Oryzias latipes: one gene and its partners. The protein of the gene in region 1 purifies or fractionates together with the protein of each later gene. This does not show direct contact. Links are inferred from orthologs where the notes say so. Each region holds a gene or a part of one and is shown in the gene's direction. Other genes may lie near its edges. The genes, in order: eftud2, tssc4, bcas2, cdc5l, cd2bp2, riok1 and prpf6.

Region 1 (3,153 bases):
ATCTGTTGGATGTGGTGGGGAGAGTCCAGCAGTTTTCAGTAAAACTTCCCTCAGAATAAAATTATAAATAAAACAGAAAATATGTAGGTTGGGTGTTTTTTTTTTTTTTTTCTTTCTTTCCAGTCTGATACCAGCTGTCCCACGAAACAGGAACGGTCCCCTGGCCTGGGGGCCGTTGCTCTAAACCATAAATTCATGTGAAGGTTTCCGATTTAAATCTACTTTAAAGAACAAATGAGAACTCATAACATAAAAGATGACATAAAAGTTGCATTTTTTTATATGAAACCATGGAGCTCTTTAGCTACAGCTCATTCTCGTTAAAGGATTTTAGCGGGGTCTGTTGTTGTGCAGCTGTTGGGGCAAATTAGCCTTTTTTTCCAGCTTGTATTGATTCAGCAGGTCAATACAGCGGCTCATGCAGAAGAGGAAATGTCACCAGCCGGTCCGTCTCAGGAGGAACATTTTAGGCGGCAGAAACCGACGCCATAAGAAAAATAAGTGCTGGACAGCCGTTTGTTTATGTGCCAATAAATGCCAGAAAAAGGGGGCAGTGGAAAATTTCAATTTGGCGATGGATCTGTTAACTTGACTCCAAGTAAAGTCGTTGAAGCTCTTGATTGTGGAAGAAACTCCACACAGCTACAAACCATCGGGAAACTCAGAGAAAACACAGATGTTGTTGCTGTCTTGTTATATTTTCTAATTGCTTGTCTGAATGAGCTCAATCTGCTGCAGAAAGCAGATAGAGCTGACATAATGTGGATGTACTTTGTCTGCGTAAACACTGGATTATAATAAAACGTTATTGTTTGCTTTAGTCGGAACAGCAAAGAAATAATCTGGAGCCAAATCTGCACATATGCTGTTTTTTTTCTGCTATCTGCAGAGTTTTTATTTGATGTAATTGTATGTCTTTTATTTACTCCAAACCTAAAATTGATTGTTCCAACGGCTGAGATTGAGACATAAGATTTATTTAACTGGGTGTTAATTGAAGCTCTAATCATTAAAAGCTGTACTTTTAAACAAAAACGTTGTTTTTTTGTTTTTTTTTTTAGGTGGACAAGGCGCTGCTCGGCTCGGTTAAAGACAGCATCGTTCAGGGGTTTCAGTGGGGAACCAGGGAGGGCCCCCTGTGTGATGAACGTAAGTCATGTCTTTGTGTTTGAACTTCCTCCACAGACAAGCAAAGCTGAAATGAACTCGTTTGTCTTTGTGATGCTCTCAGCCATCAGGAATGTCAAGTTTAAGATCCTGGATGCTGTGATCGCTCAGGAGCCTCTGCACAGAGGAGGAGGTCAGGTCATCCCCACAGCCAGGAGAGTGGTGTACTCTGCCTTTCTCATGGTGAGCTCGGACTGAAGCTTCCTACAACTGGATGTTGCTGTTTTTTGCCTTTGTCCTCCTCCTCTTTAGCTCTTTAGCATCGTCAGCCTTACGTAAGAAAGTTTGTTGTGTTTTCAGGCGACGCCGAGGCTGATGGAGCCGTACTACTTTGTGGAGGTTCAGGCTCCAGCAGACTGTGTTTCGGCAGTCTACACAGTGTTGGCTCGAAGAAGGTCGGCCCTTTAACCCTGGAGAGCTGATCAAAGTCACTTGAAGTTACAAAATAATTCTTCTTTATTACTATCTGTTTTGACTTGCTCTGTTTGTCCTCTCTTAGGGGCCACGTCACCCAAGATGCTCCGATTCCCGGCTCCCCTCTTTACACGATTAAGGCTTTTATTCCCGCCATCGACTCGTTTGGCTTTGAGACGGACCTCCGCACTCACACGCAGGGCCAGGCTTTTGCTTTGTCTGTGTTCCACCACTGGCAGGTAACCTGATGGACCCCAACCCTCTCTGGAAAATGCTGATGTCAGATGTTTTTAAATGCAAATTTTGCAGTTTTTTTCTGCGTCCTAATTGGCTAGTTGGCTAAGACAACTCCAATCAAATTTACAAAAATCTTTCATCGTGACCCGATGTTTGGTTCTAATCTAGAAAAATTGGACTTAAAGTTCTATGAAGCTTTGAACTTTGAGAGTTTAAACAAGAGACTAAAGGGTAAGAAAAGTTTAAAAATCCGCTCCGATCGTCCGTCTTTTGATTTATTTTCAATGTCCCCAGTGATTTTTTAATCATGATTATGACATAATTGCTGCAGAGCAGCAGTATTTCATGACAAATTCACCTCTGAATTGTGGGCGGGACCGTTACCGTGGAGAAACCTCGCCCTCTTTTCACCTCCCCGTTGCTGAGAGCTTGCAGCAGGGAGCTTGCAGCAGGGAGCTTGCAGCAGGGAGCTTGCAGCAGGGAGCTTGCAGCAGGGAGCTTGCAGCAGGGAGCTTGCAGCAGGGAGCTTGCAGCAGGGAGCTTGCAGCAGGGAGCTTGCAGCAGGGAGCTTGCAGCAGGGAGCTTGCAGCAGGGAGCTTGCAGCAGGGAGCTTGCAGCAGGGAGCTTGCAGCAGGGAGCTTGCAGCAGGGAGCTTGCAGCAGGGAGCTTGCAGCAGGGAGCTTGCAGCAGGGAGCTTGCAGCAGGGAGCTTGCAGCAGGGAGCTTGCAGCAGGGAGCTTGCAGCAGGGAGCTTGCAGCAGGGAGCTTGCAGCAGGGAGCTTGCAACCCTCCCAGTGTATTTTCTACGTCATACAATCTTTTTCAAACGGCATTTTCTGTCTATCCCTTGTTCAAGAAATTCTCAGAAATGCAATTTTGAGCTTAAATTTTATTCGAATATGTCCTCCATCGTCAGAAAAGTGCCACAGGAACACAATTTTCACCCGATTGGGTCTTTAAGCAGAAAGTTCCTGGACATTTCCATACTTTAGTTGGTCCTGGTTCACTTTCAAACTCATAAAAACAGTCCTCTTTTGCATTTCAAACTTGTCTTTCATTCTCGCCGAGCTGCTCTGATGCCGAGCGCAGCAGTTTTGAGTCACGACTTCCAAAGTATCATGTCTGTCTCAGTGTGACACGTGTTTGTTACGGTGCTCAGCAGAGCTGTGTCGGTGAAAACTAATTCCACTTAAGGACGATTAATACTTCCCTGAAAACTCAGTCATCTGTGGGGCGCAGAGAAGGCCGTGCACACGACATTTCATGTCATCTAAATGAATATTTTATCCTGGAGAGTTGACAAACCAAGCTCCAGAAAAAAAAAAATCTACGACTG
Region 2 (4,607 bases), on another chromosome or scaffold:
TGCCATTTACAAGACTTCCAGGAAGTTCTAAAGGTTTGACCAATGCAGGTCCAGCCAGGACTCTGTCCGTCCAGGACCTTGTCGGCCCAGGACCCGGCCCACCCTCCTTTGTATTAAAACAGACTCGACCCAAACCAGTCAGAACCTAAATCTGCTGGAGGTTTCTTTCAGCCAGAGGGAGTCTGACCTCCAACCGTTTTTATTTTGAAGCCTCTGCCTAAGCTTTGTCATCACTGTTGTGAACAATAAAGTTTGAACGCCATCTGCAGCTCTTTCTACACCGTCGTGGGTGTTTTGCATGATTGTACTGTAATATAACCGCCTCCATGCGAGCGTTGGGGTCCCCCGTTACCCAGCATGTAGTCCTGGTACGCCTTGAACCTCTCGTAGAACAGCAGGCTGCCGGTCTGGAAGGTGTCCGGCAGAGTCGCTCCTGACCGCCGCTCCGACCTCTGCAGCTGCGTCCCCGACCTCTCAGAGTTCTGGTGGTCTGTCCCGCTGTCGTCGTCGTCATCCTCGTCTTCGTCACTGACGTCTCCAGCATCATCGTTCTGGAACAGAGCTGCAGAACCCAGCGGAGGTCATGAATGATGGCTGTGAAAGTTTGTCCAGCGCCACTTTTCAAAATAAAAGACTGTTAATGCTTTTTTAAACTTTGAAGGACTTTAAAAAAAATGTTTGCATTGATTTAACTCATTTATAAAGTTATTTTGCTATTTTAAAAAATATGCTTTCAACTCTAATTTTAATAATAATTTCATAGGCATTTTAAATGTTATTTTTGTCCTTAATTGCTGTATTTTTAGTAAGTTAACAGGTTTTAAGGCTTTTTCCGGTCCTCCTGTGTCAAAATCCTCATGAAAGCAGATATTTTCTCTTCTCTTTTATTTAACAATCTGTTAAACAACTTCATAGAATCAACAAAAGAGTCACAAATACTGTGTCTACATACACAAATAAATGAATTTATTTACACCCCCGTTTTCCAGGTGTCAAACTCCAGGCCTCGAGGGCCGGTGTCCTACATGTTGTCCAACCAACCTGCCATGAAGCACACCTGATCCAGGTAATCAGTAGCAGATAAGGCAGGATATCTTAAAAAAAAAAAAAGAAACAGTCTGACACCCCTTTTGCGGTCTTCTATAGGTATATTTTGTTTTTGTAATAACATAATTGTGTTATTTGTTTATTTCAACATCCGTTAATGTCTACTCAGATGAGAGTGAAATATAATTATTTGTCGTATTTGGGTTAAGTTTGGAAAATCCTGCAAGATTGACAGTTCCGAGAATGCAGCTCAGGCTGACGACATATGAAGACGCTGCGTTCACAGACCGCCGGAAACTCGGATAAAAAGTCTGCTAAATCTCCAAGCTAGCAAACCTCGACGGCAGCGGTTAGCTTGTCTCATACACCGACTCGGAGGAAAGAAAACTCAAACCAAAAACGGTAACGTAACAAACCTTGCGCTACATCCAATAAACCGGGTCCCGCGGAGCAAACGCTGTCCGTCTCGACCTGAGGATCCAGATCGACCACCACCAAGTCCGACACGTCGCTGACGGTACACCCGGTTTCCAGGGCTTCGAACTCCATTGAAACGCTCGCCAGAGTCTCGGTTTAACGGGATTAAATGAGGATCACGCGGCACTTGGAGCTTTGAAACAACAAGCGGAGTTCTGAGCCCACGCCCTGACACTTTCAAAAGATCCCGGTCTGCTGCAGCTCAGCCAATCACAGCAGGGAGCTATATAAAGACCCGCCCTTGTTTTTTTACATGCGCGGATCGGCTCGGTCTGCAGTACCACAGGACAATCGTTAGGGGGCAGTAATGACGTAAACATTACACGATCTACCGTAGAAGAAGAGGGTTTCGGCCGGCGGTCTGCGCTATTTCAAAGGTACAAACGGGATTTAAGTCAAAACTACGCGTATTATATAAATATTTGTCATGTAAACAACAGCGCATTTCGCAGCTCTTTTCGGCTAGACAGCATTTTTGTTTTGTTTATAAGCATTTGTAACGTTGTTAGCATGTCGCGCTACTACTAGCATCGTGCTACTTAGCATGCTAACTAACTTCAGTCTGAATCTTGTTTTTACGAAGTCAATATTCCGAGTTATTTTTATTTTTATTGCCAATCTTTTTAAATAAAATCAAAACAAAAGCTTTAGTTTTTTAGGCACAAAAAAAATTCATATATGAGATGAAACAGATGTTTTAATTCATGCGCTGTTAAGGCTGATGATCATGATGATGTTATTATTGTTGTTCGCACGTATTTTTACTAGAAAACAAAGTTATGGAAAACATATTTAAAGTTAAAATCCCATTAACTGTGAGAAAATTGTACTTTGATCCTGGAGGAGCGGAGAGCTGCAGAAACAGCCGCTCAGGAACCAGGGGGGTATTTTCTTTATTTTTAGCTTTTTTTTTAATTGAAAAAACACTTGAGGTTTACAATTTGTAACAATTGTATACAATTATGACAAGTATAGAAAAGTAGAAAAAGTACAGGACATGAACAAACAACATAGGCAGGATAAAATAAAAATATAACAATAATACCGAAAAAAAATTAAATAAAAGAAATTAAAATAAAAAGGGGGTCACATAGACATTTTAATGATTCTTGACTTGGGGGGTTCTCAAAAAGCTGCAAGTTACATATAATACTTTGAAGTTCCATAGCAAGTTTGATTTCCATGAAGTTTGCAGATGAAAAAAAGAGCAGAGTTCTTTATGAAATGTAAAAGAATATGGTTGGATTTCAAGGAATTGACATTTATGTATATAGAATTTACCCAAAATAATTACAACATTTAAAATAAGTTCTGTGTTTTTTTGTTTTTTAAATTAAACCCAAAAATGATGTCCTTAATAGAAAAGTCTGCTAAATGTGGGATTTGGGGGAAAAGCCAATAATTCCAAAAGACATTAGAGTCAAAACATTCAAAGAAAAGATGCTCAGTTGTTTCAATGTCATCATGACAAAAAGAACAGCAGTTTTCAGGAATTCCAAACCGTTTTCTTAGTAATTCCTTGGAAGGGTAAAATACCTGAAAAGGTTTTAAAATTGACTTCCTTGGCTTTAGGAGGGATGGGGAGTTTGAAATATTTGGTTCGTATTTGTTTCTTTTCTGAATTATTGAAATATTGGGTTATATAATTTGAATTTGAGATGTAGGGAAAGGACGTTTCATTCAAATATTCTCTGATTTGATGGTTGGGGAGTTTGAGTTAGGGTTACCAAGTCCAGCGTAATTACACTAACTCAAATCTGGTCATACCGACATACCCAGAGTAAGCAAGTTCAGGCGGATTTCAGCCAGAGTTCAGGCTTAAAGTCAGGCTAGTTTAAACGTGCTTCCTGGATACCTGCCTGAACTTACCGAAATCCTAACCTTGACCCTTCCTGTGGGTCCGTGCAGCCAATGACAACGTTCAGCACTGGCTGCACGTGCGCATTCTTGTAATTATTGACCTTTTATTGGGTCATTATTTCAAAACATTTATTTCAAGTTTGTTTTGAATTGAACAGAATTAGGACTTAAATAATTATGCTTGCTTTTAAAATGGATGTAAACATAGAGGATCATTATTATTTTACAGGTTATTTCCAAAACCCTCATATTTACTGTTGGATGCTCGGTGGTCCGTCCTCACAGGTCCTAGCAGCTTGTTGTTGTTTTGGTAGATGTTAAAACCAGTCCATGCAGGTTTGATGGGGTGGCCTGACCTTTGGTGTCTTCCTCTACAGTTTTGGGGTTCCCACCTGACCGGGTTTGTCTTCCTCGCGGCTCGGGGTTCGGCTGCAGCCGCGGCTGAAGATGTCGCAGCAGAAATGCGTCCAGAGCTGCGGCGACGACCAAGAAGGCTTTGAGCTGTCGGCCAGTGACGAGTCGGAGCCCGAGGAAGAGCTGAGCCGGGCGCCCTTTGACCCGGAGCTGGATGACAGCGACGACGGGGGCGAGGAGGCGTGCGCTCTCGGCGCCACCCGCTCAACTGCGAGCACGTTCGTCTTGAGCGGAGGGAACTCTGCGTTCTCCGACCGCAGCCGCAGCGTCTTCGACTGCCTGGATGGCGTCGAGAGGCAGACGGCACCTCTGCTCCCCGAGGAGAGCATGCCCCCTCCCAAATGTCCCCCTCCTGCAAAGAAGAGGGGGGTCCCGGACTACCTGCTGCACCCTGATCGCTGGACGCGCTACAGCCTGGAGGACGTGAAGGAGACCACTGATCAGGAGAACCGCAGGGCGGCGCACAACTTCCTGTCCAGTCTGCGGCCTGAAGAGGGCAACCGCCCCCCCGGTGAACCCCCCCACGACCAGCAGCAAAAGGTGGTCTTCTCTAAACCCAAACGAGCGTTCAAGGAAGAAATCTCTGAGTCAGACCAGCAAGGAAAGGAGAAGAGACTGCACCTCAGTCACCTGGCTGAGGAAGAGGAGGAGGACAACAAGGCTGCTGGAAAGACCCAGCAGGATGCAGAGGAGGTCAGAGACCAGCAGGAGTCCCTCCCCAGCTTCACCCCCTTCAAGAAAATGAAGAGGAAGAGCTACAGAAGGAGCTCGGATCACAAGGATGAGTGCTAAAATGCTCGATTTGATGC
Region 3 (4,065 bases), on another chromosome or scaffold:
CATCCAAAAAACATGTTTTCTTTTTATACATTAATTCAATTAAAATAAAAAAATCACTTTTTGAATCAAATCTGCACATTTATTTTTTTCTGTTATTCTGTGGAGGAGCTTGGCCAGAAACTGATCCTGTTTTCCCAGATGTTAGGATTAATTTGGTTTTGCAACGTGTACACACGCAAAAAAACATACTATTAGGCCTGCACAATTAATCGCAAATTTATCGTTATCGCGATTTCAAGCTGTGCAATATCCATATCGCAAAAGTCAGCGAAAATCACAATAAATGGTAAACCTTAAATGTGCTAAAACAATCTTATGGTAACTTTAGCTATTTAATGAATTAACTAAATCCCTTTATGCATTTGACCAATCAGATATAGCCCTTTACGTTGTTGACCAATCGGATGGAGCTCTTACGTTAGATGTTGCCCTACTAATTAGACGAGGGTCATTTGGAAGATAAATTTAAGGTATTTTGACTCTTATTTATACTAAACATTTGAAGGGAAATGGAAATGTTTTTGTTGTTTTTGCTATTTGTTCATTTTTTGCAAGTTATATCTTCATCGCAATATTGATCACTAATATCGCATATAGCGAGTTTTCCTCATATTGTGCGGCCCTACATACTATAATGCATACACATACCAGTACTTCCCCTTTCTTGGCTATTTACTCTTGGTTATTATTTCTGTATTGTTAAGATGAAATGCCTTCAACGTAAACTTATAATTTTATATACATTATTTAAAAAAAAATATTGAAGTGATGATGAAGTATTTTTACAAGATTGATCACATTTGTATCAGAAGAAAAAGCTATTTATATATTTTTTTAGAACAACAACAAAAGAAAGATAAAAAAAGCATTTATTTGTTGAAATTTAATATGAAACTCTTTAAAGGTTTACTGTAGTGCAGTAATAGCTGAAACCTGAAGTTTGTTACACTACACATCTGCAAGAAGCTCCTGGGGATCTTCTATCAGTCTGTGGTCGCCAGTGTAATAACCTACGCTGTGGTGTGCTGGGGGGGGAGCACCTCAAAGACAGACTTCTCCAGGCTGGAGAAGCTGATCAGGCGGGCTGGTTCTGTGGTTGGCACAAGGCTGGACCGTCTGGCTACTGTGGCAGAGAGAAGGACACTGAAAAAACTGACAGGTATCCTGGACAATACCAGCCACCCTCTGCACATGACTATCGGTAGCCAGAGAAGCACCTTCAGCAAGAGGCTGCTCCTCCCAAGGTGCGGGACTAATAGACTGAGGAACTCCTTTGTCCCCCGGGCCATCAAACTCTTTACCACCCCCGGGCCATCAAACCACTTAGGAGGGGGGAGGGGGACAGAAAGGAAAGGGAAAGGGCCTGAATCACTTTTTTTTTTTTGTATATACTGTTTGCAGATATTTAAATTGTTTTTTACTGTTCTAATCTTCCTCATTTTTCTAGTCACTGTGCTGCTTTTTCCTTTTTCCTATATGTATGTCAACCAGTGCTGTATGCGATGGAGATGTCAATTTCCATGCGGGAACCTCCCAAATGGATAAATAAAGTTGTCTATCTATCTACTAAGCTGCAGTTCCATTCCTCAACGCAAGAGGCGACAATCACGATTAATACAACACCGTTGAGACTTTTATTTCGGAAAGTTTTGACCGGAAACGGAAGTTTCTGATTAGCCGTTTGGAGTCTGTTAGCAGAAAAGGACTTTCTTTCTTTATTTTTATTTTTTTTTACTGGGGAGCGAACATGGCTGGAACGGCCTCGGTCGCTGGCGAAGTGTTTGTTGATGCGTTGCCGTATTTTGATCAAGGTTATGACGCACCAGGTGTCAGAGAAGCGGTGGGTAAACAAGAATGCTGCTTTAAAAGCTAGCTAACTTATAGCTAGTTAGAACTGTTAGCTAGCGATGCCGCATGGTAACGCGCCGTTCAATGTATAGTTGGCCAAACCATTATTATTATGATCGCCTGTATATTTCTTTAGATCTTGTCATTATAGGTTTCTGCTTTGAAACTATACAAGTTCATAATTTAGGATGAAAACCTTCAAAGCCAAAGCTGCTGTTTACCTCATCGGGTAAAACAACAGCTGAGGGGTTTGAAACAGCCGGCAGATCTGGAGAACCAGGGTTTGGTGACACTAAGTTGACATGTTAGATCATCAGGGGTTGTGGCTCATTTTTAAATCATGTTTGTATGAAAAATGGAGAGAAATCATTTGTACTTGGCCCTTCAGGCCGCTGCGTTGGTGGAAGAAGAGACCAGAAGGTATCGCCCAACTAAGAACTACCTGAGCTACCTGCCCATGCCGGAGTTCTCGCCGTTTGAGGTGAAAACCTGCAGACATTTGAAACTTGATTCCTAGTCTGGGTTGGCTAACCGGTTTATAATCCTTTCCCGTTTTGTTTTGGGTTTCAGACAGAAATCATGAGGAATGAGTTTGAGCGATTAGCCGCTCGACAACCAATGGACCTCCTCAGCATGAAGAGGTAAAAAACACACTCTGTCTGTCTGTACAATATTTCTGTAAATGTAAAAGAAAGAGAAAGTTTAGGGTGATTCCATAGAACGATTCTATTCTGCTGTGGAGGTATGAGCTTCCAGCCCCCACATCGGGACAGAAGAACGACATTACCGCCTGGCAGGAGTGTGTCAATAACTCCATGGCCCAGCTGGAGCACCAGGCCATCCGGATCGAGAACCTGGAGCTCATGTCGCATTATGGAACAAACGCGTGGAAGGTCTACAACGAGTGAGTGGCGGCCTGTGGGTCTCACCCTTTGGTGTCTGACTCTTCTGAAGACTCAAAGCTAATGTTGTCCCTTTTCAGCAATCTGGCCTTCCTGATTGAGCTGGCTCAAAAGGAACTCCACAAGTTCAGGTGATTGAGGATTGGATCATACATGCCTGAAAAGATCCAACGGTTACCATGGTTACACATTTCTGAACTTATGCCGGCAGGAAGAAGATCCAGGACCTGAACTGGCAGCGCAAAAACGATCAGTTGGCTGCAGGCGCCAAGCTGCGAGAGCTGGAGTCCAAGTAGGTTCTTCTTAAGTTCTGGTGTTCTCGTGGATGAGGGGTGATGTCTGACTCTGGTTCTGATTCCCGCCAGCTGGGTGTCGCTGGTCAGTAAAAACTATGAGATCGAGCGCGCCATCGTCCAGCTGGAGAACGAGGTGGCTCAGCTGAGGCAGCAGCAAGGGGAGGAGAACAAGGAGAACATCCGACAGGACTTTTAGGAGTCACCTCACCGGGATCCGTTGGATGGATCTGATTCGGTTGGTTTGGACGACTCGATGACTGCTGGAGCGTAGCGGGTCACTCGACTCCAAGACGGATGATGTTTGAAAGGCGTCGGTTTCCTCTGATGGAACCGTTGGGTCTTTTGTGTTCAGTTACACACAAATCATGGTTTGAAACTCATGATCGATCGACATGATCGATGTCTTTGTAGCTTGTTGTACAGTTTCTAAGTTGTGGTGGAGAAAAAAAATCCTGTTTTTGATTCAACTTTTGTTTTTTATCGTTTTAATAAAATGAACGTTTCATACACATTGTTATTTTTTTCAGTCTTTTACCTGTAAGTCTCTGAGCTTCAGAGCTGCAGCTGATGAGCTGGAAGCTAACAGATGGGAGCAGCTGGATGGTTTGTCATTCATCCCTCTTGAAGAACAGTGAAACCTAAAGTCTGAGGCCTAGAGTGAGGCGGTTTTGTGTCAGATCCCCTGTCTTCTGTACATCCACTGAACTTTGATCTCAGAAATCTGCAGCATTTTGTGCTGATCCATTTTCAAAAGTCTCAGCGTCTTCCATGACTTCCTGGATGAGTCTTCATCTTTGTTGTTGGTCAGTGGCACAGAAAGGTCACAACACATTAACTCACAACACATTAACTTACCACACAACACATTAACTCACAACCCAAAAACTCACAAAACATTAACTCACAATGGAAGTAAAGCTGCAATGGAGGTGCTTTTATCCTGAAATTAATTAGTGTATATATATATATATATATATATACACATCAAGCTCAAGGCCCCAACTGACAGTGTCCTCAGT
Region 4 (4,458 bases), on another chromosome or scaffold:
AATCAAGATGTTCCTCAGATATCCAGTTGAAATAAAAAGATCATCACTCCTAAAACCTGCCTGTTTATTCTGATATCAAACATTAAAGCAGAAAAGGAAACTAGTTATATCCACCAGATCCAACTATTTGATCCATTCATTGATTTATCATGAGTACTGGTACCAGTCTGGTCACTTGGTACCAAGCAGCAGAGAGAAAAAATACATACTTGGCAGTGTTTTTATTTTATTTTTTATCTGATTATGAAGGACGTTTTATTTTGTAAAACTCTGCTTTGCTGATTTATTCTACATTTTTTTTCACACGTTCTTGACATTTTTATTACATGTCCTCTTTTTTCATTTAAAAGGTGATTAAACTAATTAAATTTCATGTTTAGTGTTTGGATCTGACATAAAGCCGCTCTGAAAAAAATGCATGAAAACTCACCAAAACTTGCAGACCGCCAGTACCTGGTAAAAATGAAGTCGATGACAGCATGGCAAGCGAAACCATAAAAAAAATAATAATAAAAAATTAATGAGCCGAAAATCGCTAATGGAGGCACAAAAACAGTCAAAATACACTAAGGAAACCATACAACACATGTCGGGGATATCCAAAGGACGTTTTGAAATTATTGTGGGCCACACAACCCACTGCTTGGCAGCTGGTTTGTGGCAAAATTGTGGCAATTTTCATGTTTTTCCACAATATGAGAAAAGTCGACCTTTAGCCTCGGGAAGAGGTCTTTGAAAAAAACCTGTAGTAGCAGCTACACACGAAAACTACAAGGTATTTTCGTCGATCATCTAACTTCTCGGTCGTCATTGGCAAGCTCCTGTGCAAAGAATTTTGCAACTAGAAGCTCGCTAATTTTTATGGGAATGTCACAAAAATTGAAAAATAGGGCCCCCTTCTACACACAACCCCCCACTTCTTTCACACCTCCGACCCCCCTAACTGATTGGGGAAATACAATGAGAAATAATGAATTGATAAATGAATAGGGCAAATATTTCCTAAGAATCATCGCATTTACCAATCAGGGACTCAGCTTTGGGTATGTGCCGTTTTCAGTGAAACAATCAGCGGGTAGAGAACACATCCAATGCCAGCGCTTCTGTTTTGAACTTCCATCTATTTTGTTGACCTGCTGGGGTCACGGGGTTGCCGGAGCCCATCCCGGTTCCTGTTGGGCGAAGGCAGGACATTATTTAGAGGTTTTATAATTGCACCATTACAAAGTATGTAGTATTCGGTTTATGTATGGAACACTTTTAAAATAAATAACATTGTAATGATTACATCTTTTTAAATTAGATTTCCGTTTTGTCATTTTATCTGGTAAGAAACACATTTTTGGGGACATTTGACTCATTTTTCTCAGCTTTGTTGTTGCTACTAATAGCAAAAGGGTAGGAGGGTTAAGATTTACCCAAAGTAATTATTTTTCCTGCTTCCTAAAATAACATATATACATATGAGACAGTCATGGTATAAGACTACGTTACCCACAGTGCCTTTCGGTGACTACTTGTAAGAATACAGTTTCCGGTGTATCCGTGCATGTCGTTTCTCCTTCGTAGTGTTGCTAGTTTTTAGGGAGAACTGGAAAATCTGCTAGACTGAATAGCGGGTGTTAAAGCAATATTTAATTTTGTTGACGGAGAATTCAAAAACAAGCCATCAAGATGCCTCGTATTATGATAAAAGGAGGGGTTTGGCGTAACACTGAGGTAAGTGTTTACATGGCTAACTGTTAGCATGCTCCTAGGCTAATCCTAAACCAATGGCGGGAGGTTAGCATAAAGCTAAAGGCCGTACTCTCCACAGCACGTTTATGTACACGCTCTTTTGTCCGCGAATTTAACTTTTGATATCGATGTTTTTAGTTGGAAAAGGTGATGAAGGTGGTGAAAGTGCAACATTTGCAGCCGTCTTCCTCTATGCTAGTCCTGAACGTCCGCTGCCTTCTTCACGGGGAGGAGACTTGCTGCTGCTGCTCGCTCTGCAGCCGGGAAACTTTAGGCAGATCAGCATCCATGTCTTTTTTATTTAATTTTTATTTTTATTTATTTATATACACAGTGATGAAAGTCTTCCGGGAATTCCCGGAAATCCGGGTTTTTGAGCAAACCGAACGTACTTTCCGGGAAATAAAGACCTGATCTTTACGGACAAATCGCTTTCCGGATGAAAAAATGGTCTGAAATCGGCGAATTTTAGCTTTATTTTCTATATTTCTCCGCGGATCGCTTCCTATATGGTCGCGGCCATCTCTCGTCTTCCCGGCCTAATTGACCAATGACGGGACGTTTTAGTTGCTTTCGGATGCGTCGACGGGTCTGATTGGCTCTGTCTGCACCACGTGGTCAGCGTGACTTGCTTCCCTAGAGACCAAAACTGGCTGACCCACGCTAAACTTTCACAAACAAATCTAAAGAGTTTGCGATCAAATTTGTGTTAAAATAATGGCAGGCATCGTCATTATTGAGCGTGGTCACGACCTCAGTTGTGAGAAGACGATAAAAAACAAATTGAAGTGGTCTTGGCTGGAAGAAAAATATTTTTAAGGTAGTGTAGGTCAAATACTTTTTTGTGTAAAATAATCTCAAAACCAAATTCAGAAATAATTTCAGTTTTAGTTTTGAGTTTCAGTTTTTATTTTGAATACATTTCTCTATCTAATTTATTTGTATTTCCTAATTACCATGATTTAGTTCAGTATAGTTGACATTAATTATAAGTATTTGATGGTTTGGACCCGCACTCCCTTAAAAAATAATGTTTACAATATTTAATTTAGTTTGTATGTTTGTTTTGATATTTCCCAGATTACTTAGTATTGGTGTTAAAGAATTGATGTATTATGTTATAGAATTATAGTTTAAAGCAGATCCCATATTTTGATGTAATTATAGTTTGAGAAAACAGTGCAAGTGAATGTTGTACATCAGTCATTTCTAAAGCAGAAATAATGTATAAATAACTGAGGTATTTTCATAGAATATCATAGTTACTGGTGTTCTTTTTGCCATTTGGGGCTTTGATGTTACTATATTTTAGCAATTGTATCTTTTGCAGATTTTAGGAAAAGCTTAGATTGTAGGATTGTTATACTTTGAGCAATGATCCAAATTCTTTTTTAGGACCAGGAAGTCCTTAATGTTAAGTCAAACTAGGGGTTTGAATGACAAATGATGATGCTCCAATTAGTCTTAGTTTCTTGATTAAGAAGTGAATAACGAGCTGCCAGAATGCACCAGAATGCATCTAAGACTATGTATTTTTCAAAAATTTCTCTCTGCGCCGCCATATCGCTCAAAGAAAAGTTCAGGGATTTTTTCCTTGCCTGACTTTCATCACTGTATACAAAAGAACACGGGCAGTTAATGGCAACTAATATTAGGAGATAATGTAATGTATTTATGGCCTGCAGGATGGATCTGGGTGGGCAGGGCTCACCTGTTAAATGTAGACAGTATAAGGCGCGTGATTCATTGATTCATAAAATGACAACTGCTAACCAAAGCAGTAAGTCGTTTGTTGTTTAGTGAAGTCTTTGTTGATTATTTGTTTGTTTGTTCAGGATGAGATCCTCAAGGCGGCGGTAATGAAATATGGGAAAAACCAGTGGTCCCGCATCGCCTCCCTGCTGCACCGCAAGTCTGCCAAACAGTGCAAAGCCAGATGGTGAGTTTGATGCCGAAACACATCTTCCATTTTCATAATGGTGGCAGCTTTATAGGCAGATGAACGGATGGATTTTGTTTTACCCTGCATGTCTGCAGGTACGAGTGGTTGGACCCCAGCATTAAGAAAACGGAGTGGTCCAGAGAGGAGGAGGAGAAGCTGCTTCATCTGGCCAAGCTGATGCCGACGCAGTGGAGGACCATCGCTCCCATCATAGGACGTACTGCTGCCCAGTGTCTGGAGCACTACGAGTACCTGCTGTAAGTCTGACTTTCTTCTGGAATGACCATAACCAGGTGGTGGAGTGTGTGTGAAGGGGGTGGGCTTTCTGTTTAGAGACAAAGCTGCACAGAGAGACAATGAGGAAGAGGTGGGAGATGATCCGAGGAAGTTGAAACCAGGAGAGATCGACCCAAATCCTGAGACCAAACCTGCCAGACCGGACCCCGTGGACATGGACGAAGGTACAGAATCTCTACAGCTCTGCAGCTACAGTGAAAACTGCCCTCTCATTCTTTGTGGAACTTTGTGAAGTCTGCCTTTAAGGAGCAGCTGTGCTTCTGTGTTTGCAGACGAGCTGGAGATGCTGTCTGAAGCCAGGGCTCGCCTGGCCAACACACAGGGCAAGAAAGCCAAGAGGAAGGCCAGAGAGAAACAGCTGGAGGAGGCCAGGTCATCCTTCATATGATGAAAACCTCCAAAGCTGTTGTTTCCTGATCAAATAACACGGTATGACTTGGTTCTGCTGCAGGCGTTTGGCTGCCCTGCAGAAACGCAGGGAG
Region 5 (4,477 bases), about 1.5 Mb from region 1:
AAAAGTATCTTTAAACCTTAACTACTAGAAGTGAACAAAGATCATCATATGAATAAATGAATAAATAAAACTTGTGAAACATGCAATACCATCAACCCCCATGCATCCAACATAACGACATTTATTTTAAACCTGGTAAGTACCTCATAATAAACAATAAAAATGTCAGCACATTTCCAAAACCACAATATTTTTCTTGGCTGCTCACATCACTGCAGATTTGACAGCGCTGACTCAGACTTACCTTTTGTCAAGCAGTAAGGGTCACTTTGGCCTCCCACGCAGTCCTTTCATTATTCAGATCGACACATTATGTTTTAATTTTTGTTGTTGTTAAATATGAAGGCGGTTGTTTGCTGTCAGGTTGATTCGACCAGCCCAGACAATGTTTTCATATTTAGCATTAAGTTACTAAAGCTGGTTCCCTCATGGGCACCGAAGGACGAGCGTTTAAATATAAATAACTCAACCCACTTCCTGGTAATAATACCCTGACACGTTATATTCTCTGTTGAGTCTGCCCGGAGCTCCTGGGAACTGAGCAGTCGCGACCTGCTTCACTGTCAAGAAGTGAGATTCTAGTGGCTGTGGTGGAGTTGACTGCCTTGGCTCCATCATTTCTCCTTTTATTTCTTTTATGATGTGATTTCCTTATGATTGCTTTTAAGGCGACTGACTCTGCTGTGGGCAGATGGAAAATAACTGAAAAGATTCAGTTCCCTGTCAAAAACAGCACCACTTTTATTGATCTAGGTTTTTTTTCCACTTTTTTTAAAGCTATAATTAGATCAGCTTCTGATTCTATATTTATAGAATAATTTCAACTCCTGGTAAGGATTTGTGTTTGTTGCCATGGAAAATAACAAAATCTTTTTTTAAATTGAGCAGCTTTCCTAATAAGGTTCCTATTGTGCATAAATCCCGTGCATTTTCCTTATGTGCTTTTAAAAACTAATACAATAAAAGATTAAAAATGCAAACGATTGAAAATGCAGATCTAATAATAATTATTTTGTTTGTGTGCTATCACAAATAAAAAAAGAGCTATTTTAAAAAATGATAAAATAAAAAGACTTAGTTATAAATTCAATAGCATTAATGGCTTTTAGGGAGAAGCATTAAATCTACAAAAATGAAACATAGCTCTATTCAAAGTGTAGTTTTCAAAATGACGTCTGAAAGAGCAAAACTGAAATCGAATATTGTTTCTCTGAATTCTCATTTCTAGATTTATTAACAGTTTTACAGAAAATTATTCCTGCTTTAACTATTCACAACTGCAGTTTTTCAAAAAGGGTGTGGTAAATAAAGACAGTTTGCTAAAAAAAACGGATAACAAAAGATGAATGAATCCTAAACAAAATGTAATTTTTGAGCCAGCCTCAACGCTTTTATCTTTGAAAATAACAGCTGTTACCCTCCACACCACATGGTGGCGGTGTTGCGTCATTCCGCCATTGTTGAATAACAATAAAATCTAGATTTCCGTCAAACAAGAAGCGAAAGCGAACGTTGACAATTTATGCAGGTTTTTTACCACGCTCTCCCTATCTGTTCTATTGTGTCATTTATACTTATTATTTGTTTATACATTATGTTGACCAACATAATGTTGAATGCCTTTCGTATATCGAGTCGCAGTTGGTGGCGAGGCGTTTACTTGTTCTGCATGCTCTCCGTGTTGTTGTTTGCTAACACTTAGCTGCAAAGCTAATAACGTGCGTGTTATTACAGTCACTTGTGGGTGTGTAGTTGCGTGGATAAAAGTGGTGCTCTGTTGTCTTCTCCAGCACCATGTCGAAGAGAAAAGTGACATTTCAGGACGGGAACGAAGAGTTTGAACTGGAAGACGACGGGCTCACGAAGAAGGTAAAGCCGGAGGATCTGTCAGGGTTTTGCTAAAAAAGTTTAGCCTTTGATTTCCTGAATTTTGATCTGGATAAACTATATAAGTAATCATTTGTTACGTATTGGTACTAATTAAGTGCCGCGTGTTTTATTTTAGTTTTGTGCTGCGTCATTCATTTCTGTGTTTTCCTCATGATGAGCTGTTGGCCTTTATTTGATGCACTATTTTCATTCCACTATTCTATTGAAATATTAGTACAGTTATTTTAAAGATGTTTACTTTATTTTGATATATTCTAAAACGGCATTTGCATAACTAATAAGTTATAACTTTTATTAGTCATTTGAAATCTTTTCCAGTAACTTATGAACTGAGATTATTTTTAGCTTAAGTGGACACTTTGTTTAATTCAAAATATGGCAGACCTGTGTAATTTTTTTATTATCTGAGAAATGATAGAATGTAAAAGAATAAAAACACCTATTTTTAGGTGAAGCATGACCTTGTTTTACTGTTTAGGTTATGCTTTTTTTGGGGGCATCGATCACAAAATAAATACATTTGTTTCGCTTTTGTTTCTAAGTGCCATCCCTATGACTTTGTTTTGTTGAAACAGAGCTGTGAGGCAGTGAGTGGACCAGGTTCCAGGTTCAAGGGCAAACATTCACTAGACAGTGATGAAGAGGACGAAGGAGGAGAATCAAAACACAGCAAATACAACATTCTAGCCAGCGATGATGTGGAGGGTAAGCCTTGTTTTTTGTTTGTTTTGAAAAATAATATAAGTGAGGGTGCTTTAATTTTAAACCAAGATGTTTAATATCTGTTTACCTGCACAAAGTAGTCCTTTATGCTAATAGTGCTTTCGTAAACTTTCCCTGGAAGCTGTTTTAATGTCAGAAAATGTGTTTTCAGGTCAAGAAGGAGCAACTATCGACTATGATGAGGGAGTATCTATTACACCTTTTAACCTAGAAGAGGAGATGGAGGAAGGTCACTTCGATTCAGAGGGAAACTATTTCATCAAAAAGGAGAAAGAGATTAAAGACAACTGGCTAGACAACATAGACTGGGTAACTAGTTTTAGGAACACATACATGGCGTATTTTCAGTCAAGAGAGAATGAATGAAACATCTTCCTTTATTACAGGTAAAAATAAGAGAGCAGCCTTTCAAAAAGAAGAAGAAAGGTCTGGGAGCCAAGCGGGTGCGCAGAGCTGGTGATGAGGATGAGGCTGAGGAGGAAAAGCGGAGGGAGGAAAAGCAAGTAGACAAGGGTGATCAGGAAGAGGAAGAGGAGGAGGAGGAGGAGGAGACACCTGTAGAGGACCCCCTGGCATCCTACACGCAGCATCAGCTCACTGAAGCTGTTGTTGAGTTATTGGAACCCGGAGAAACGGTTGCTACGGCGCTCCGTCGGTTAGGAGGCCTTGGGGGGAAGAAGGGGAAGCTGAGGAAAGAGAACGAACCCACAAAGGAGAACAAAAGAGATGCCGAGAAGCTGGATAAGCTCACAGCTCTCGCTGACAGACTGGTTGGATCAGGGATGTTTGAAATCTATCAGCACACTTATGAGAAACTAGGATTTTTGATGAAGAGGATGACGAGCAAGCAGCCAGCAGACAGGCAGAGAACCAGGTGTAGTGACGATGAGGATGAACTCGACATGTTTGGCGACAAATTTGATGAGAAAGTTGAGGAAAAATCAGAAGACAAAGAGGATGAGGAAGACAAAAGAGGTAATTTGGCGAAACATTTGAAGATTTTCGGTTGTCGTCACATGCAATGTAACTTATTTGATCGATCTTTCTGAACTTTTAGTGACGGATGAAGTGATGTGGGAGTACAAATGGGACAACAAGGAAAACACAGAGGTCTACGGCCCCTTCACCAGCCAGCAGATGCAGGTTATTCCCCTCAAATTTGTACATGAAGAATTATTCTTATGGGATTTGTGCAAAATTAAACTGTTAATCTCCCTTTTGTGTTTTAATATAAACAATTAGAAAGTGGTGTCTTTGTCTATATCTGTCAGCTAATAGTTCATTTGACGCCTAATGTACAAGAATTGTGTAATTATTGTTACTCCTATACATTGTTTTGAATAAAATCAGGATACAGAATATGTTTAAATGATATTTAAGTGAAGTCATAATTGACATTATTACAAAAAATGATAAAATCTGTGCAGCTTTAATGCAGCATTTTATGTCTACCTTTTAAAGTTTATTTATTTTTTAAGTGAATTTTAACTGCTCTCTTTCTGTAAAGATAGCAGTAAATCCCACCGTGTTTGCCAGATTATTGACTTGTAAAGTAGCTCTGACCCTCAGTTGGACCTGGTGGGGTTTTAATCTTCTTATTGTTCGTTTTCCAGGGCTGGGTGGACGAAGGCTATTTCAGCGACGGCGTGTACTGCAGGAGGGTCGACCAGGAAGGGTCTCAGTTCTACAACTCAAGAAGAATAGACTTTGATCTTTACACATGAATTATGGCCATAAATGATCCTCATCATTTTTGCAGTTTGGTGTTGTTTATCCCATAATTCTTTCAAAGTCTTCCCTGTCTCTTCTTTAATTTGAAAAACATGATATTTGTTTTAAATGTATTTCTTTTCTGCATGTTTTT
Region 6 (4,535 bases), on another chromosome or scaffold:
CGGAATTATATGACACCAAGTCTTTCATATGTCGGAATAGAGCTGGGAAAGAAAAAGCCTGGATAGCTACGTGAGATTTGCACCGCTTAGGGATTTCACACCAAGCCTCTTCCAACTGTAGGTGGCGAAGTAAATAGAACAAGAAAAATAAGAAGAGGCCCCTCCCAGCTTCTCTCGTGTGAATGCCATGCGCTAAACGTGCATTCAAGAATGTGCATCATAAGACCAGTGTGCCAGTAGTTTCAGACTCCAATCAGTCACAGCAGATGATTGGTTTTATGGAATCTAGTTCTGCAACGGGTTTCTTCCTCGTTTTCCACCAATTTCTCCTTCTCCACTGTCCGCTTTTGTTTGCTCAGTACAGGGATTACACAGCAAACCCCTCAGTGCTTTGACACCACCTTCGTTGTGAACTAACGCTTTAGAAATTGTTAAGTTGTGCATAACAAACCAAATCTGCTGCAACGCCTGTGGTTAAACCTTGATGGTTTCCCCTCGAAGCCCAGCAGCTCAAAAGAGTCTTTGTCCAGGGACAGGGTCAAGATACCTGAGGACAGACAGACAAGATCATGTGATCCAAGAACAGATGAAAAGGGTCATTTGACCATGGAGATCCACACAACAAACAGGAAGTGATGCTTTTTACCGTTGGGCATTAGGGAGACACAGTTATCCTCGTCGATGCGAGTCTGGTGGGATAAACCATACACGCTGCCTGCAGCACATAGGAACAGGTGAGTCATGTGACCAGATGAGAGCAGGTCTCAGCTAGGTTTAGTGAAGACGGGCGTTTTGTTACCGTTGTAGATGGCACTCCGCAGGAAGTTCTCATTCAGCAGCTTGTAGATGGGCAGCTTCTTAATCAGGTAAAAACTGTTGAATGACTTCAATGTTTCATCCAGATGGGAGGGGGCGGAGCTACAATCAGGCAGTAGCAGAGACACCTGCACAGGCATAGGAAGCAGTAGATCGTGGCTGTTTCAGTGACAGGTCACAATTTTTAACTAAATTTTCCTGAATTTCGCAAAGACCTGCCAAAATAAAAGACGGAACGGCCAATCAGCAGTCTCTATGATTCAATATTAAACATAGAAGAATATACTTTGATGCTGCCTTCAAGAACTTAACATCACTCCATGCTGCTTTTAAAAGCACTACTTAAGATCATCAGTCTTTGCTGCCTTCAGGGACAGGAGTAGTATCATGTCCCTCGGTGCTGCCTTCAGAAACACGGGAATATATCTCTCAATGTTGCCTTCAAAAACAGTTTGTCAAGAGGATGCATCATTCTGCTTCCTTAAACTAATTCACATGCGGACTTGAATATTTTAATTTTCACCTTGTAGTTAAAATGCATTTGCTCCACCTGTGCGCTGACCCTGTTTTTCTCGTTCTGGAAGCTGGACCGCTCACAGACCAGCAGGTTCCGAGGACATCGGCTCAGGTCCTGCATCCTGATGCAGTTCCTGCACGATCTCAGACACGGGGCCTCGGGAAATGTTCTCACTTTAAAGCATGCAGGAGGCAAGGCAAGAAACCCGGAAGCGAACTGAAACACATGGAGGTTTGGTCAGAACGCAGCACTGCGCAGCCGCAATGGGTTGGCCCCTCTTGTTCGCCGTAGTCACGTGATCAGAGCCGGAAGTTGAAGGAGCAGCACGCTGTTGACTTCTATACCACCCGAACAAGGCGGCCCGGTGAAGGTGGGCTTCTTATCAACCAAATACAGCGGGATTACTTTGCGTGGGCTGTGGGTTCATGGAGGAGGTCACGTGCGTTCCTGGACAGTTTGATGACGCTGAGGTAGACAGGTAAAGGTTTGGTTTGGTTTGGTTTGGTTTGGTTTGGTTTGGTTTGGTTCTCTTTGTCGCTCTGTCTGTGTCGTCAGGAAAAAATCTAGTCCCCATGTCAGAAAAAAGGTCGTATGGGTCCAAGCCCAAACGCTAGTTCTGAGTGGTCCAGTAGTCGATTATCCATGTACTAACATTTCTGATGAATCATTTTGACTGGCTTGTTTAGTTTAGTCAGCACCTGGAAAGGCCAAAACCAGCTCCTCAGTGAGTGTCTAATCCGGGTCAGAACCTAAATCATCCTGCCAAAAAGAAAGAACCGACCCCATGAGCAGAACAGTGTCTTCTGTCAGGTTCACCTGTTACGGCCTGGTTCTGTGATCCCATAAGAAATGACTGCCAAAGCTTTCAGAAGATCCAAAATCCTCAGTGTTTCATGAACAATTGTCTCCTCCTGTGGTTTGGGTCTTGCAAAGACTTTGATTTTTATGGTGCAGGAGGACAGATGATGCCTTCTCTGTTACCATGGTAACCAAATGGGGCAAGTACCTTCTCTCCAGAGGGTCTTCTCCAGGTTTCTGGGCTGTATCTCCTCACAGTTATGCCTATTTGAGTTCAGATGTTATTTTTTGGACTTTTCTAACCATCAAAGCCTCATACCCACTGACAAAACAACATCCATTTGTGGCAGTTTAAGATTTTTAATGCCGTGTAAGCATTAGAAAATGTTGTCACAAGTAGGGAGCCATGTTTGGGACCAACGATAGAGGAACTGAAGAGATTTTAATGTGTTTTTTGACCATAATTGGTATTATTTTGCCTTCAATCCTAATCACAAGATTAGAGCGACGTGCACAAATTTTACCTACACAAATACATGTTTTTGTCCACAAAAGTGATCTGCTCGAGTGTTACTCATGTAGCCTTGTGGCTACATATTTTCAGGTGCAAACACCACCTGAACATATCTTCCCTGTAATTGGCTGAGGGTCTGGACTCTTCCTCCCTGTTGGTTCTTTCTCAGTCTGTCTTTTTCTGTTTCCTGCAGAGACCAATCAGAGCCTTCGTTGCTACCAAGCCTCATCAATGATGTCGCTGCGCAGAGGGTCGACAGTGATGAGGAGGAGGACGAAGTGGATGATGATTATGATGATGAGGATGATGAAGAGGATTGGGCGTACCATTCTGCTGCCAATCTGACCAGCAGATTAAACCGGAGCGGCCTCAACTGCCAGGTTCTGATCCAGATACATTAAAATTTAGTTGCCATGTTAAATGTCAGTTAGGGTATATTGGTTCCTTTTCAGTTAAAGAAGTCACATCACGGTCACGGTTCAGAATTATTTATCAGTGATAATGAGTCTGATCCCACTGCCCTTTTGTTTCTCTGTCACTGTTCTCAGGCAAACAGACAGAACCCGTCGAATAAGATGATCTCGTCCTCGACCCCGTCTGACAAAGCTTTGAGGAAATACGAACACAAAATCAACCTGGGTACACACACGTGCACACTCACATGCATAGACCACAGCTGTGGAGGGTTCTGGTTAGGCCTGCACAATATACCGCAAATTTATCGTTATCGCAATATCCAGCTCTGCAATAGGCATATCGCAAAAGACTGCGAATATCGCAATAAATCGTAAACCCAAAATGTGTTAAAACAATCTTCTAGCAGCTTGAAGCATTTAACGAATCAAATAAATCCCTTTATGCTTTGACCAATCAGATGGACGCCTTCCCATTGTTTACCAATCAGATGGAGGCCTATTATGTTAGATGTTTGTCACCTATGTCAATGAGGGTCATTTGGAGTGTAATTTTAAACTGTTTCTAATCAAATGGGAATGGTGTTTTTGGCATTTTTCTATTTTTTTATATACCGCAAATTATATCGTTATCGCAATATTAATCTCTAATATCGCATATCGCAAGTTTTCCTCATATCGTGCAGCCCTAGTTCTGGTTTTCCTGTCCGACATGGTGTGACCTTAAAAAGTGTCTGCCCCTCTGTGAGGTCAAACAATCTCCAGTAAGAAGATGGCTGATAGTTCTGAATAATCTCCTATGGATGTGTGAAAAAGTATTAGCCCCGCCCTGATTTCCTCTACATGAGAGAAGATGGAGTTTATTTTTAGAGGCAAACACAATTTCATACAAGAAAGTTAACCTACCACTGTTTTTGTTGATGTTTTTGTTTACATTAGCATTTTTATTGAAACACATAAATAGGTTAAAAAACAAGGCAATGATAGATATTATTCTACTATCTTCTTTTCCAGAAAGTCTTAATTCCAGAAAACATTTTGTTCTGCAAAGATTTTTGTTTTGGTCGCATAGTCTGAAGGTCTTTGTTCTAAAAGACCTATGTTCTAAGATTGTCTTCTGGACTAATGGGTTTTCTGTTCTAGAGCTTTTTTGGTTCTTCTGTTCTTTGAGGTCTTCCATTCTTGATGGTCTACTGTTCTAGTCGTTTTGCTGTTTCAGGAGATCCTCGATTTTACTTTGTCTTCCGTTCCTAGAAGGTCTTTTGTTTTGGGAGACATTCTGTTCTTGGAAATTCTTTTTTTTTTATCTTCCATTTTATGAAGTCTGCTGTTCTATTATGGATTTTGTTTTCGAGTGGATTCTAGTTTGATTTTCTGCTCTTGATAATAACTGTTTTAGTCAGTCTTCTGCTCTGGAAGGTTTTGGTTCTAAGATATCTTTTGTTCTAGAATGTCTAGTGTTTTAGAGGGTGTTCTG
Region 7 (3,852 bases), on another chromosome or scaffold:
AAGTTGGAGATGCAAGAAACAAGCGTCAAAGGAACCCTCGCCATGAAAAACTCACACCTGTCCCTGATAGCTTCTTCTCCAAGCACCTGCAGAGCGGAGAGAACCACTCCTCTGTCGACCCTTTGCAAGGAGTCAGTAAATACGCGCACACGCACAAGATCCAACTAGAAGCACTGAAAACCATGCATCATGCTGCAGTCCCAGTTTAGTCCAGCAGGGGTCAGGAAACTTCACCTAAAACAGTCTTAGCAACTGCCAAATGTTTATGATACTGCTACTTTGTAGCTTCTGTACAGCAGCCGTGAGCTGATGGGTATTTGGACAGTAACAAGATGGAATTAGTTTATTGGTTTTAGTGCTTTATAACTGCAGTCCTGAATTCAGGCTGTGGAACTGTGGCCCTCCTTTGGCTTGTTCTTCTCTTATTATTCATTCTTATTCTTTCGTGCGTTTTTTTGTCCGTTCATATCTTCTGCATATTTTATCTGATTTCTGCCATTCAAGTATCAAAATGTCCTGCAAATTGAGGACATTATTGCTATCTTCTGCGATTTCTGCTACAACTTATGGTTTTTCTGCAATTCAACAAAATTGCTGCAAAATGTTGCCATAGAAGTACATAGGGGAAGGCTCTTCAGCAACTTCAAACTTACTGCAAAGCTAACTTCTGCATACTTTATGCCGTTCAAAAAATTCAAACATGCATTTGTTCTGCTCTTTTGTAGACTTTTCTGCTGTCTTTAAACCATTTTGGTAACATTTAAAGTTTTTCAAAATTTTAAGTTGTTTGAATTTCAAATATAATGGAAGTCAATGGAGACAGTGCTTCAACTTCTCTGTTTTTGAAATGCATCTCCTCCTATAATTTCTCAACAATTATTTTAATCTGACGTATAGTTGAGACACAGCATCATTTTGTTTGGGACATCTGTCCATCTCAGACTCTGTAGCGTTTGTGCCTACGTAGATGACATATACAGCTGCGAGCAGTCCTGGAATTTGAACCCGTTGCCATGGAGACAGCACTCTCTTTCAGACACGCACAGACACACTGAGACGGGCTTTGCAAAAGTTCAGGGGACCTTTGACACTTTCAATGACACATAGATGTTTTTTTATTCAAAGTTTCAAACACAAATCCCCGTGTTTGGAATAAATTCTGTTTGTATGAACAGCTTTAACTAGCATAGCATTAAACCTTTATATTAACATCATGCTAGCTGTAGGTGCAAATGTAGACATTCCTTTACATTTTTGTTATGTAACCATTACATCTACATTGTGCTGGCTCACTTATGTTAGATCATTTAATTTGACATCTATCAAGGGTTTTCAAGCTAATTTGGCATTTAGCTAAAAATTTTACAGGTTTTTTTGCAATGTGAATTAATTGCAGCATTATAATGGTGATGTCTTCTGCAGCTTGGCAATCCGAAAACCTCTGCAGATTTTACGCAAACAGCTTCAGCAATTTATCCAGCCTTTTTCTTTTCAATACATTTCAGCTTCCTCTGCTAAAAGTTATGCGATTAAGCCAATAAAAGCAACCACCTTTTGCAATTAGTCAGTTAATCGTATATACCCAGGAAATGCAACTTTTCTAGTTATTCTTGGCACATTTTTTGTCATTTTCAGTTCACAGCATAGAAAAGCAGTTTCACACATTTACAGTTTGTTCACATTATATATTCTATCTTGTTACACTTGTGAGGGAACTGTAATTGGAAACCGAATTCCCTGGAACAATAATGCTCCTTCTCTTCTAACATTATTTCCTGTCTGCACTAGCTGGGGGGCCTGAACACACCTTACCCTGGGAGCATGACCCCTGGTCTGATGACACCTGGAACAGGAGAACTGGATATGAGGAAAATTGGTCAGGCCAGGAACACTCTCATGGATATGAGGCTCAGTCAGGTATGCTTTTTGTGTAATTCAGTATGACTTCCTCTTTAATCTGCTTGTGTTCTGCAGTGATATGGATAATTGTTCTGTTGCGTTTGACTTTTGCTGTGCAGGTGTCAGATTCTGTGAGCGGGCAGACAGTCGTGGACCCTAAAGGATACCTCACAGATCTGAACTCCATGATCCCAACTTATGGAGGAGACATCAGGTAACGACAGCGCGGCCGTAACTTCTTTTCTTTTATACGCGTTTGTGATCCCACCATCAGATGTTTCCACTTCCTTGCATAACAGATAAGATTTTCTATGCATTAACCAAAAAAAGCATCGGATAAACCTTTTGTGTGAAAGAAAGTGGGAAAGATTAAATCAAAGCGCTATCTAAAGCTGTGCATTTTTCTAATTTTTATTTTTATTTTATTTGGTAAGTGCGAACTGTAAAGTTGGGGAGATAGCTTCTAAATTTGCATCTCAATGAGTAAGAGGTTCCCGGGAATGTGGGAAGTTGTTGAGATTGTCTGTTTTTGATCATTTGTATCTAACTCTTTGGGTGCAGTGACATCAAGAAGGCTCGCTTGCTGCTGAAATCAGTGAGGGAGACCAACCCCCATCATCCACCTGCTTGGATTGCTTCGGCCAGGCTGGAAGAGGTCACTGGTAAACTTCAGGTGGCGAGGAACCTGATAATGAAAGGCACAGAAATGTGCCCAAAGGTAAATTTGAGGTTATTGCAGGCTTGATCGAAGGGGTGTGACAATCACAGCATCACCGCATCGGTGATGACCGCATCACAGCACGTTTTTTTCTTCTGCATATGGTGTGTGATTGGAACTAATAAACACATTAAACACATTCATCTTTGCTGATAATTTACTTTTTCTGCTAGTCCCGTGTTCAGACTTCAGGGGCTTCTGGGGGAAACCTTTTATTACTGTTCTCCTTCACTCCCTGCGCGGCTCTCACTCCCTCTTGCGCCCCACACGCTCCCTCTCCTTACACACACGTGCGCGGTTTCAGCAGCACATACAAATCCTCATTGTACAACAGAAATTCCGTCTCGCGAGGAAATGCGACAAATTTACTGCGTTCTAATTATTCATTTCCATTACAAGTTGCGTGGGTGGTGGTGTTTATTACTGTTCTCCTTCACTCCGTAACACCAAACACGAACGGGCTCTGTTAGATTTCGATGAATATCACTACATGTTTTGTTTGGGAATTATTTCGTGCAGCGCAAAGTTACGTGTCTGTATAAACAAAGGCGGAGCCTCCCGCCACGTGTTCTTCATGGGTGTCAGGCTTCATGGCTACCGGAAAGGTGACAAAGTGTCTGCAGTCTGTTTATTACTGGGCAATATATAATATTCTGAGAAGATGTCTGTACCAGAGAGCACAGGTGAAGCCTTGCTTGCAGCTCCAGAGCGGTCCGCTGCAGAAGAATTAACACACTTGTGTGCTCCTTCCTCCTACATACGCAGCGTGCTGACACACATACACATAGTCATTCTACAACACCTATATAGTTAGTTCATTAGGTGGATAGGTAGTAGTTAGTGGTTACTGTTATTTGTTAATAAAGAATACTGCGTTGTAATTGTATTCATTTGCAACGCAGCCGCGGGGGTATTTTGTGTTTGGCCGGGGGGGGGTTAACCGCCACACCGCCCCCGCTGCTGGTTCATCACCGCGGTGATCAAAAATCCCACACCGTCACAGCTCTACTTGATCGTCTGTAAAATGTTTTATTTTTGAATGAAAATATTTCACTTTATTGTGGTATCTATAAATGCAAACCGAACTTTCTAGCATTTCAGTTTTCCTGTTCATTTATGAAAGAATCTTTCATGAGGATTTGTGCCTCTCAACCAGAGTGAAGATGTGTGGCTGGAGGCCGCTCGGCTCCAGCCCGGAGACACGGCTAAAGCTGTTGTGGCGCAGGCTGTCCGTC

The links.
Region 2: the proteins of eftud2 (region 1) and tssc4 purify together in Homo sapiens (affinity purification with mass spectrometry; 4 studies listed by BioGRID and IntAct, counting the BioPlex papers as one, with this or other methods). This does not show direct contact. The link is inferred for Oryzias latipes from reciprocal best matches to the Homo sapiens genes EFTUD2 and TSSC4.
Region 3: the proteins of eftud2 (region 1) and bcas2 purify together in Homo sapiens (affinity purification with mass spectrometry; 3 studies listed by BioGRID and IntAct, with this or other methods). This does not show direct contact. The link is inferred for Oryzias latipes from reciprocal best matches to the Homo sapiens genes EFTUD2 and BCAS2.
Region 4: the proteins of eftud2 (region 1) and cdc5l purify together in Homo sapiens (affinity purification with mass spectrometry; 6 studies listed by BioGRID and IntAct, with this or other methods). This does not show direct contact. The link is inferred for Oryzias latipes from reciprocal best matches to the Homo sapiens genes EFTUD2 and CDC5L.
Region 5: the proteins of eftud2 (region 1) and cd2bp2 purify together in Homo sapiens (affinity purification with mass spectrometry; 7 studies listed by BioGRID and IntAct, counting the BioPlex papers as one, with this or other methods). This does not show direct contact. The link is inferred for Oryzias latipes from reciprocal best matches to the Homo sapiens genes EFTUD2 and CD2BP2.
Region 6: the proteins of eftud2 (region 1) and riok1 purify together in Homo sapiens (affinity purification with mass spectrometry; 3 studies listed by BioGRID). This does not show direct contact. The link is inferred for Oryzias latipes from reciprocal best matches to the Homo sapiens genes EFTUD2 and RIOK1.
Region 7: the proteins of eftud2 (region 1) and prpf6 purify together in Homo sapiens (affinity purification with mass spectrometry; 6 studies listed by BioGRID and IntAct, with this or other methods). This does not show direct contact. The link is inferred for Oryzias latipes from reciprocal best matches to the Homo sapiens genes EFTUD2 and PRPF6.

Annotation. Positions count from the first base shown.
Region 1 is NC_019866.2:5,479,142-5,482,294, reverse strand, and holds part of eftud2 (116 kDa U5 small nuclear ribonucleoprotein component), read left to right. Parts: intron 1-1,061; coding exon 1,062-1,149; intron 1,150-1,231; coding exon 1,232-1,350; intron 1,351-1,467; coding exon 1,468-1,562; intron 1,563-1,666; coding exon 1,667-1,820; intron 1,821-3,153. UniProt on the Homo sapiens protein: Required for pre-mRNA splicing as component of the spliceosome, including pre-catalytic, catalytic and post-catalytic spliceosomal complexes. Component of the U5 snRNP and the U4/U6-U5 tri-snRNP complex, a building block of the spliceosome.
Region 2 is NC_019861.2:37,264,292-37,268,898, reverse strand, and holds the start of tssc4 (protein TSSC4), read left to right. Parts: upstream 1-1,804; 5' UTR 1,805-1,901; intron 1,902-3,761; 5' UTR 3,762-3,831; coding exon 3,832-4,590; 3' UTR 4,591-4,607. Other genes in the region: shcbp1 (SHC SH2 domain-binding protein 1), read right to left, coding at 353-562, 1,464-1,596. UniProt on the Homo sapiens protein: Protein associated with the U5 snRNP, during its maturation and its post-splicing recycling and which is required for spliceosomal tri-snRNP complex assembly in the nucleus.
Region 3 is NC_019865.2:942,928-946,992, reverse strand, and holds bcas2 (pre-mRNA-splicing factor SPF27), read left to right. Parts: upstream 1-1,643; 5' UTR 1,644-1,747; coding exon 1,748-1,840; intron 1,841-2,236; coding exon 2,237-2,329; intron 2,330-2,418; coding exon 2,419-2,489; intron 2,490-2,590; coding exon 2,591-2,752; intron 2,753-2,830; coding exon 2,831-2,881; intron 2,882-2,961; coding exon 2,962-3,042; intron 3,043-3,115; coding exon 3,116-3,242; 3' UTR 3,243-3,555; downstream 3,556-4,065. UniProt on the Homo sapiens protein: Required for pre-mRNA splicing as component of the activated spliceosome. Component of the PRP19-CDC5L complex that forms an integral part of the spliceosome and is required for activating pre-mRNA splicing.
Region 4 is NC_019873.2:1,354,561-1,359,018, reverse strand, and holds the start of cdc5l (cell division cycle 5-like protein), read left to right. Parts: upstream 1-1,505; 5' UTR 1,506-1,674; coding exon 1,675-1,719; intron 1,720-3,572; coding exon 3,573-3,676; intron 3,677-3,774; coding exon 3,775-3,936; intron 3,937-4,012; coding exon 4,013-4,140; intron 4,141-4,248; coding exon 4,249-4,348; intron 4,349-4,427; coding exon 4,428-4,458.
Region 5 is NC_019866.2:3,948,233-3,952,709, reverse strand, and holds the start of cd2bp2 (CD2 antigen cytoplasmic tail-binding protein 2), read left to right. Parts: upstream 1-1,440; 5' UTR 1,441-1,528; exon of another isoform or gene 1,529-1,790; 5' UTR 1,791-1,794; coding exon 1,795-1,869; intron 1,870-2,465; coding exon 2,466-2,595; intron 2,596-2,764; coding exon 2,765-2,922; intron 2,923-2,999; coding exon 3,000-3,588; intron 3,589-3,670; coding exon 3,671-3,756; intron 3,757-4,226; coding exon 4,227-4,337; 3' UTR 4,338-4,477. UniProt on the Homo sapiens protein: Involved in pre-mRNA splicing as component of the U5 snRNP complex that is involved in spliceosome assembly.
Region 6 is NC_019875.2:13,399,552-13,404,086, reverse strand, and holds the start of riok1 (serine/threonine-protein kinase RIO1), read left to right. Parts: upstream 1-1,631; 5' UTR 1,632-1,758; coding exon 1,759-1,811; intron 1,812-2,838; coding exon 2,839-3,025; intron 3,026-3,193; coding exon 3,194-3,284; intron 3,285-4,535. Other genes in the region: rpp40 (ribonuclease P protein subunit p40), read right to left, coding at 452-547, 647-715, 800-944, 1,340-1,453. UniProt on the Homo sapiens protein: Involved in the final steps of cytoplasmic maturation of the 40S ribosomal subunit. Involved in processing of 18S-E pre-rRNA to the mature 18S rRNA. Required for the recycling of NOB1 and PNO1 from the late 40S precursor.
Region 7 is NC_019865.2:15,463,828-15,467,679, reverse strand, and holds part of prpf6 (pre-mRNA-processing factor 6), read left to right. Parts: coding exon 1-131; intron 132-1,788; coding exon 1,789-1,917; intron 1,918-2,018; coding exon 2,019-2,113; intron 2,114-2,460; coding exon 2,461-2,617; intron 2,618-3,773; coding exon 3,774-3,852. UniProt on the Homo sapiens protein: Involved in pre-mRNA splicing as component of the U4/U6-U5 tri-snRNP complex, one of the building blocks of the spliceosome.